Linked DNA regions of Canis lupus familiaris. The protein of the gene in region 1 binds, or shares a complex with, the protein of each later gene. Links are inferred from orthologs where the notes say so. Each region holds a gene or a part of one and is shown in the gene's direction. Other genes may lie near its edges. The genes, in order: EIF3I and EIF3K.

Evidence for each region.
Region 2: EIF3I (region 1) and EIF3K share a complex: the UniProt entries of both Homo sapiens proteins name them as parts of the eukaryotic translation initiation factor 3 (eIF-3) complex. The link is inferred for Canis lupus familiaris from reciprocal best matches to the Homo sapiens genes EIF3I and EIF3K.

The regions. Positions count from the first base shown.
Region 1 is NC_049223.1:68,375,101-68,378,565, reverse strand, and holds the end of EIF3I (eukaryotic translation initiation factor 3 subunit I), read left to right. Parts: intron 1-1,191; coding exon 1,192-1,302; intron 1,303-1,427; coding exon 1,428-1,517; intron 1,518-1,816; coding exon 1,817-1,890; intron 1,891-2,397; coding exon 2,398-2,490; intron 2,491-2,646; coding exon 2,647-2,728; 3' UTR 2,729-2,819; downstream 2,820-3,465. UniProt on the Homo sapiens protein: Component of the eukaryotic translation initiation factor 3 (eIF-3) complex, which is required for several steps in the initiation of protein synthesis.
Region 2 is NC_049222.1:115,272,317-115,276,894, reverse strand, and holds the start of EIF3K (eukaryotic translation initiation factor 3 subunit K), read left to right. Parts: upstream 1-1,776; 5' UTR 1,777-1,875; coding exon 1,876-1,934; intron 1,935-2,940; coding exon 2,941-3,039; intron 3,040-4,243; coding exon 4,244-4,364; intron 4,365-4,578. Other genes in the region: MAP4K1 (mitogen-activated protein kinase kinase kinase kinase 1), read right to left, coding at 20-110, 226-283, 454-552. UniProt on the Homo sapiens protein: Component of the eukaryotic translation initiation factor 3 (eIF-3) complex, which is required for several steps in the initiation of protein synthesis.

The DNA.
Region 1 (3,465 bases):
TTTTCTAGATAGAGAAATTGAGGCAGAGAGAGGTGCTTCTGAGGGCAGACTCTAAAGCTCTGCCCTTTGTACTCTACAGGCTAGCAGGTTGCTGAATGGGAAGGGAAGTAAGGAGATGAAATGACCCTTTGAAAGATCTAAAAAAAAGCTAGACATGCAGCAGTACTGGTGGACTGTGGCTCCAAACTAGCTGGGAAGGGGGTGAGCACAGGCTCTCTACATCTTACATGTGGCAGGACCTCCAGCGAGTCATATCATCCCTATGAACCTTACTTTCTTCCTTTGAAAATGTCCTTTAAGGGGTGAGCCTGGGTGGCTCAGTCAGTTAAGCCTCTGCCTTCAGCTCAGGTCATGATCCGAAGGTCCTGGGATTGAACTCCCCTCCCGGCCAAGCAAGGAGCCTGTTTCTCCCTTTGCCTGCTGCTCCCTCTGCTTGTGCTCTATCTCTCTGTCAAATAAATAAATAAAATCCTAAAAAAGGAAAAAAGAAAAAAGAAAATGTCCTTTAAAATACCCACTTCGGGAACCCTGGGTGGCGCAGCGGTTTGGCGCCTGCCTTTGGCCCAGGCGCGATCCTGGAGACCCGGGATCGAATCCCACGTCGGGCTCCCGGTGCATGGAGCCTGCTTCTCCCTCTGCCTATGTCTCTGCCTCTCTCTCTCTCTCTCTCTGTGACTATCATAAATAAATTTTAAAAAATTAAAAAATAAATAAATAAATAAAATAAAAAAATAAATAAAATAAAATAAAATACCCACTTCGTAGGATGGTTGTGAGGATGAAGTCAGCTGACTTCATTCATTATGTAGCACAATATTTGGCAAATGTGACTATTCACACAATTCAGTGACTATTTGTTAAAAGAAGGAGTGAGTGAAGGATGTCTCTACCATTGTAATGTCCTGATTCGTTAATAGGTCCATAGATTTGTCATCATGAGCATGTGTTTTCCTAGATGAACTAGCTGTGTTTATGAAATGTGTACGCATGGGTGAGGTTTAGGATGTGGGCTTGGGGGCAGTGGCGGAGGTGAATGTTGGTTCAGGGGATACTTAGGCCCACCCGACCCAGGCCTCCCCCCCCGCCCCGCCCCCCCAGCCCAGACAGGGAGCAGTATAGAACAACCCCGGTGGAGCAGTGGTGCTGGTGGAGTTCAGGCCACCCAGAGCCTCACTCTTCTGCCTTCCCCAGTCTGGAGAAGTACTGGTGAATGTTAAGGAGCACTCCCGGCAGATCAATGATATCCAGTTATCCAGGGACATGACCATGTTTGTCACTGCTTCCAAGGACAACACAGCTAAGGTGAGCCTGGGCAAGGAGTCTGGTGGGGCTGCTCCTACTCCCCTACAAAGCTTTCAACTTGACCAACTTTCCCTCAAGAAAACTCCTTTTATAGATTCCCCTCCCCCCCCATCTTCTCTTTCTAGCTCTTTGACTCCACAACTCTTGAACACCAGAAGACTTTCCGGACAGAACGTCCAGTCAACTCAGCTGCCCTCTCTCCCAACTATGACCATGTAAGGGAACCCCACCCAGGCTTCCTGCTGCAGCCTCAGAATACTTCCAAGATCTAAGTGTTCACCAAGCAATTGAGATAGGAACTCTTTGGGAAATAGTGTCAGGCAGAGAGGAGATTCCCAGAGCAATGAGAAGGCTGAATTCTTGGAAAGCCCGAGGGGGCAGGGTAGGAGGTGGCTGAAGTAGCTGTTTGGGTCCTGCCCTTAGCATCCTCTCAGTCTGATGGGGCTAGGGGTGAAACACGGAAGATGGACTTGGCAGCCCTTTTGGGCTGTCTAGAGTTTCTTTTTCCCTTCAGGTGGTGCTGGGTGGTGGTCAGGAAGCCATGGATGTAACCACCACCTCCACCAGGATTGGCAAGTTTGAAGCCAGGTAAAGAGGGAGGGGGCTCTTTCACATTGAAACCCCACAGAGTGTCTTTCATGATGGACACAAACCATATACTTGTGGAGACTTCCCTTATTTCCTTGCCTGCTAGGCGGTACACCCAGATTTGTGGCCTTCCTAGGACATGTGTATAATGTAGCAGTTATGAGCATGACCTTGGGCTCACTCTGAGGTCCTGGACCCTTCCTCCTATTTATCTGTGCCTGGTTTCCTCCACTGTAAATGGAGACAACGATAATATTCTTACCTTATAAAATTGTGCAGATCAAATGCATGAGTTACTATTCGTTGCCCAGCACACCGTAAGGAAATGTTAGCTGGGTATGCAGGCAGACACTTGGGTCCAGTCTTTGCCTCCTCTTATTTTGTTCACATTCATTCCCCCTCATCCCCATTTCCCCACTTTTTGCTTTCCCTTTGGGGAGTGGTACATGCATTGTGTTTTGAGAGGAGATGGAGAGTGACTTGTCCCTTCCCACCATCCCCTTCCAGGTTTTTCCACTTGGCCTTTGAAGAAGAGTTTGGAAGAGTCAAGGGTCACTTCGGACCCATCAACAGCGTTGCCTTCCATCCCGATGGCAAGAGGTAGGGAGGGCTTCGTGCAGGAAACTGAGCTCAGCCCAGATCTGGCCTCTGGCCCTTTCCCGTGCCCTGCCCTCCCTCTCCCTCCCTCCTCCACTGGGGCCAGCCTTCCCCCAGAGGGGACACCTGACTGGTCCCTGACTTTCTCTCCCTCTCCAGCTATAGCAGCGGCGGTGAAGATGGTTATGTCCGCATCCACTACTTCGACCCACAGTACTTTGAATTTGAGTTTGAGGCTTAAGAAGCTTGGATCTCCATCAGGGCCAGGGGAAATTTCTGGGCCAGGGCTCACAAAGTTTTGGACTCTGAGAAGTAAATTAGTTTGGAAATAAGTGGTTTCTGGTCAGAAATTTTGTGGGGACTATTTCATTCATTTCCCTTCTTAGTGACACCCCAGAAAATGTATACTAGTCGTGGAGATCTTTATTATTTAGACCTTCTCCTGACACTATAAGATGCGTCAAACCTGGAGCTTCTGTATGTTTTGGATTAGGCTGGGCTGCAGACGCCCTGATCCAAGGTCCAATGGTGCTGAGGGACCCTGTGGGGTGAGGGGTGTCTCAGGAACATTACAGCCATCATCCAAGGAGCCAGCACTTAATGTTGGAGCTCAGAGGTTGTAACTGTCGGCTGACAGCCCTCTGTTTTCTCCTTATCTGTCACTATTTGCCACACCTTCTCCCATGCCACCTCTGAAGGTTCAGGCAGGCAGATCCAGTGCAGAAACAGGCCTGTGGAGGAGGACAGATGAAGCTGGGCAGAGGGGCTAGCTCCACAGGGGAGAAGGTGGGATTGGGGGTTACCTTGCCACAGTCGCAGGCTCTGGGGCTCCACAGAGGGCCAGATGGCCAAGGGATTCGGGATGTAGAGTGAGTTCCGGAGCTTCCGTTGCTCATTTGGCTGGTTGAGCCCAGACCACAAGGAGTGGGTTCAAGTCCTTACTTTACACAGGCATCTCTAGGGAGTGAGTTTCCAGAC
Region 2 (4,578 bases), on another chromosome or scaffold:
CAGGTTTGGGGCTCATCACCAGAGATAACTCCCGTGGTAGGCCACGATGTTGGCATGCCGGCAAGTTTTCAAGATGAGGATTTCCTTCTGAAGTGTGGAAACATCATCGTCTGTGAGGAGGAACAGGAAAGAAAAGGCCACTGTGGGAAGGGAGTGTGGGGGAGGCGATCCCAGTGTCCGGAGAGGAGGCATAGGGGTGAGGGGAAGGAGCTCCTGTGTCCTCACCAGGCTCCATCTTCACCATCTTCACTGCCACCAGGTCCCCCGTCACCTTGTCTCGAGCCTTGTAAAGGGGAAGTTGGCAGTCAGGCAGGCTCCATTCGCCTGAGTTCCTCCTCAGCATCCCTGAGCCAAAGCCAGGGACTGGGATCCTCTATCATCCCCTTCCTTTCTTGGGCCCCATCCCAATGGCTCGCTGGTTTGAGGGTGATGGAGAAGGAGGGGTGTCCTCACCTTGAAGACTTCTCCATAGGTGCCGCCACCCAGCCGCTGCAGGAGGTCATAGTGGTCCCGGGGGTCTCGATTAAAAATGTCGGGGTCCACGAGGTCCATCCCTGGGCGCTGGAGCTGGGCCTGCGCCCAGGGGCCAGCAGGGCCTCAGGGCTCGAGTGTGGCACCTCCCTCCCTCCCCACACGTCCTGCGCCCTGCACCCGCCTAGCCTTGCCTCCGCTGGCTGTGGCCTCCCCCCTCCCCACTCTCGCTTCCTGCCCCAGCACAGGGCTGTGCAGCCGGCTCCACCCCCTATCCCCTGGGCCCTGAGAGCCTGTGAGGGGTAGCTTGCCTTGGGACCCAGGGGACCCCCCCCCCCACCTCCAGGACCCGGGGCTGAATGTAAACCAGATGCAAACTATCTTATGATCTGGGGGGGTTGCTCTGGCACCCCCTCCCGCGTTCTGGGCGGTGGCTAAAAACCACAGTTGAAACTCTGCTGAGTGCTTGAGGGTTTGGCCACCATCCGGAGATGGAAGGCCTGCACAGGAGTGGCCATGCAGTGTACGTGCCCGTTCTCCGGGGTACATGTACACACCCACCTGTGTACCCACTGTGCACAGACCAGTAGCCGGACACATGCCTGGAAAGCCGTGTGCATACATGCGGTTGTACCCAGAGCACATACCCCCACGGATGTGACACATGCTTGTGCATTCACGCCTAAAGTGTGCAGAATGGTACACATGTAACTCATGAGAGCACACACAGGGGTCTCTCCCCTTCTGCAAGACTGGAACCTAAAGGGGCCTGAGCGCCCTGCGGCAGGGTCCAGGAGCCCTTCACCTCAGCCCCTGCACGGCAGGGCACCACAGCTTTCGGGGTGCCCACCTCTGGGGCTGGGGCGGAGGTCGGGGAGAGGTTCAGGGCTCCAGAGCTCAGGATCTTGCCCAAGAGGCCGAGGCCTGGGGCAAAGGGGACCTCAGAGAGCACCTCCCTGGGGAATCTGGCCAGGGCCCAAACGAAGAGATACGGCGCGCATATCGGCACATTTTTGTGAGTTCACGACCGCGCGCAACACGCCGCGTGCAGGACGTTAGGGAGCCGTGTCCCCGCGGGCGAGCTCGCGCTCACGTCCCGGGGGCTAGAGCTCGGCGCGCGGGGCCCGGGAAAAGCCTCGCCCCGCCTCCTCGCCCGGAGACGGCGCCTGCGCACTGGGCTACATTAAGCCTTTTCTCACGCTGTCGGTCCAGCTCGGGGGGCGCTTGTGCGCACGCGCCAAATGCGCCCGCCGGGAAGAAAGTCACGTGGCGGCCGCCGCAGGCGCCGCGGAGGAGACAACAACGTAGTTTCCGTTTCCGCCACCTCTTCCTCTTCCGGTCCTCGAGGACGCCGTACCGGCTGGGTCTCCTGCTCCCGCCCGGGTGTGGGAGGCGACGTTCGTCATGGCGATGTTTGAGCAGATGAGAGCGAACGTGGGCAAGTTGCTCAAGGGTATCGACAGGTCTGAGCCCGGCCGGAGGGAGCGCTTGCGGCCGCGCGGCGTGGTGGGCGGGATTTTGTAGAGACCGCAAGGGGTGGTCGGGTCCTAACTTGGCCCGGGGGAGGCTTTCCCGCTTCTGGAGGAGTGTGAGGAAACGGCCCCACAGGGGCCTACGGGCAGGAGACGGCCCTGCCTACCTCGCAGTCCTCGGCTTTTTCATTGCTTTAAGGTCTCCAACTGCTTCTCCGCACTCTGCTCCTCAGCCTCTCACTGCGTGTGTCATGCCTTTTCATCTCCTTTTTTCTTACCTCTCATGCCATTGCTTCAGCACACGGCACTGAAATCTATTCCATCAGCGCTGGGCAGTGCTGGGGAACCAGAGGTGACCAAGACAGCCCCGGGCCATGCTTTCATGGGGGTTCCCAGTTCAGAGTCCATACTAACCGGGCAATAGGCAGTGATAGTCAGCAATCATCGGGGCTGGGGTTGGGGAAGCCGAGCAGGAGAGGATGGGGATAAACCAGGATAGGGGCCTGAGGAGGGGGGAAGGGGATGAGTGGCAGAGATGTCCAGGAGGCCTGGTGTACAGGTTGTGATTACTGATTGGTGGAGGGATCGGGAGGACATCTGGGAAAGACCCAGGGCTCTGATGGAGGTCAGAGCTCAGCTTAGGTGTGTAATGTGGATAAGTGTTATTAGAGGTTATGGAGCTGATTCAAGACTTTGATACAGGGGCAGCCCCGGTGGCGCAGCGGTTTAGCGCCGCCTGTAGCCCAGGGCGTGATCCTGGAGACCCCAGATCGAGTCCCGCATCGGGCTTCCTGCATGGAGCCCGCTTCTCCCTCTGCCTGTGTCTCTGCCTCTCTCTCTCTCTCTGAATGAATGAATGAATGAATAAATAAATAAATCTTTAAAAAAAAAAGACTTTGATACAGTTGCAGGTTACAGTGGCCTTCTCCTCTCTACCCAGAGTGACTGGCCTCAGCTCCTGTTTCTTCTCTGCTCACCCATCTTGATTCTTCTGTAGGTACAATCCTGAGAATCTGGCCACCCTGGAGCGGTATGTGGAAACACAGGCCAAGGAGAATGCCTACGATCTGGAAGCCAACCTGGCTGTCCTGAAGCTGTGAGTCTCTGCCTTCACCCCCACCTGCGTGACAGCGTAGCCCGCAGCATGCCACTCTCAACATTGGATGAGGCCAGAGTTGGGGGGTAGTCTTCAGGATGTGACTTCTCTTGGTGTGTAAGACAAGGAAGCCAAGACAGTTGGGGCAGAAGGAGAGGTAGTTTTTTAAAAAATTAATTGCAGGTTGCACGAATAGGTTGGTACAAAACACAAAAATATGGCTAAATAAGTATAAGTGCAAACCTATGTGGACATCACACTTATTACAAAATTGAGTGTTGTCAGGTTCCCAGGCTCTTTGCCTTGTGTGCTTTCTGCCAGCCACCTCACCCCTGCCCTGGTAACCACTTTTATGCTCTCATGATCTGGCTTCATGTGAGTTGACCACACAAGCATTCATCCTGATTAACTTGGCTTAGGTTTGCCTGTGTTGGATATGACATAAATAGTATGTGATGTGAGCTTTTCTGCATCTGGCATCTTCTGCTTAGCACCAGGGTTGTGAGATGGATCCATTTTTTCCTGCAGCTGCAATTTGTCATCATTTTAGTATAGTGCTTCACTGTGTTTTAATTACCCTTTCTCCTGCTGATGGGCATTTGCATCCTTTCCTCACAGCAGTTAGGTAATTTTTATACATTGTCTCAGTTTTGGTGTCTGTAAAGGAGAGATAAGAACACTTTGTATTTGTGAGGTTGTTAAGATTGTTACTGGTGTAACTGCTGCTTAATGAGCACTCATCTGTGGTAGCTACTGCGCTGTAAGCTTTGTATGTATTAACTCAGATGTCGAACTGTCTTTGTGAAGTAGATAGGGTTGTTGTTGTCCCTTCTAGGAGGGGACTGATACACAGAGAATTTAAAAGAACTAGTTCAAGGTCACTTGTCAGGGAAGTTTGAACCCAAGCAGTCTGGCTCCAGAACCTCAACCACTGCTTTAGACTATACGTAGGTATTGGTTTGTTTGTGACCACTTAACAGCATCTGCCTTACAGAATGGTTGAGAGGATTAACTGTTCCCATCCACAAGCAGGAAAGTGGGTCAGGGAGGTTAAGGTCACAGAGCCAGAGTGCTGTGTTCGGGGTTGGAGCCCAGGCACGTGCCAATTCCTGAGCTCTGAGCCACACAGCACTGGGTATCTGGTGAGGCCCAGGGACCTGAAGAGGTCTGGGCCTCTTGCTCTGTCTCTTGTTCCCCTTCTCAGGTACCAGTTCAACCCAGCCTTCTTTCAAACTACGGTCACCGCCCAGATCCTGCTAAAGGCCCTCACCAATCTGCCCCACACCGACTTCACACTGTGCAAGTGCATGATCGATCAGGCACATGTATCCTTCCAGCTTATCCGTCTGGCCGGGTGTGTAGGACGGGGTGGGGGCAAGGTAGATGAACTCCCCGGGAAGTGGTCTGTGGGTTCAGCCACAAACTCCTGGATTTGGTGCAGTACTGGGTGGGACATTTTGGTGGCTGCAACAGACCTGGCCCCTGCCCTCACAGGGCTCACAGTCCAGTAGCAGAGATGAGTCCTCTGTCAGTGACAGC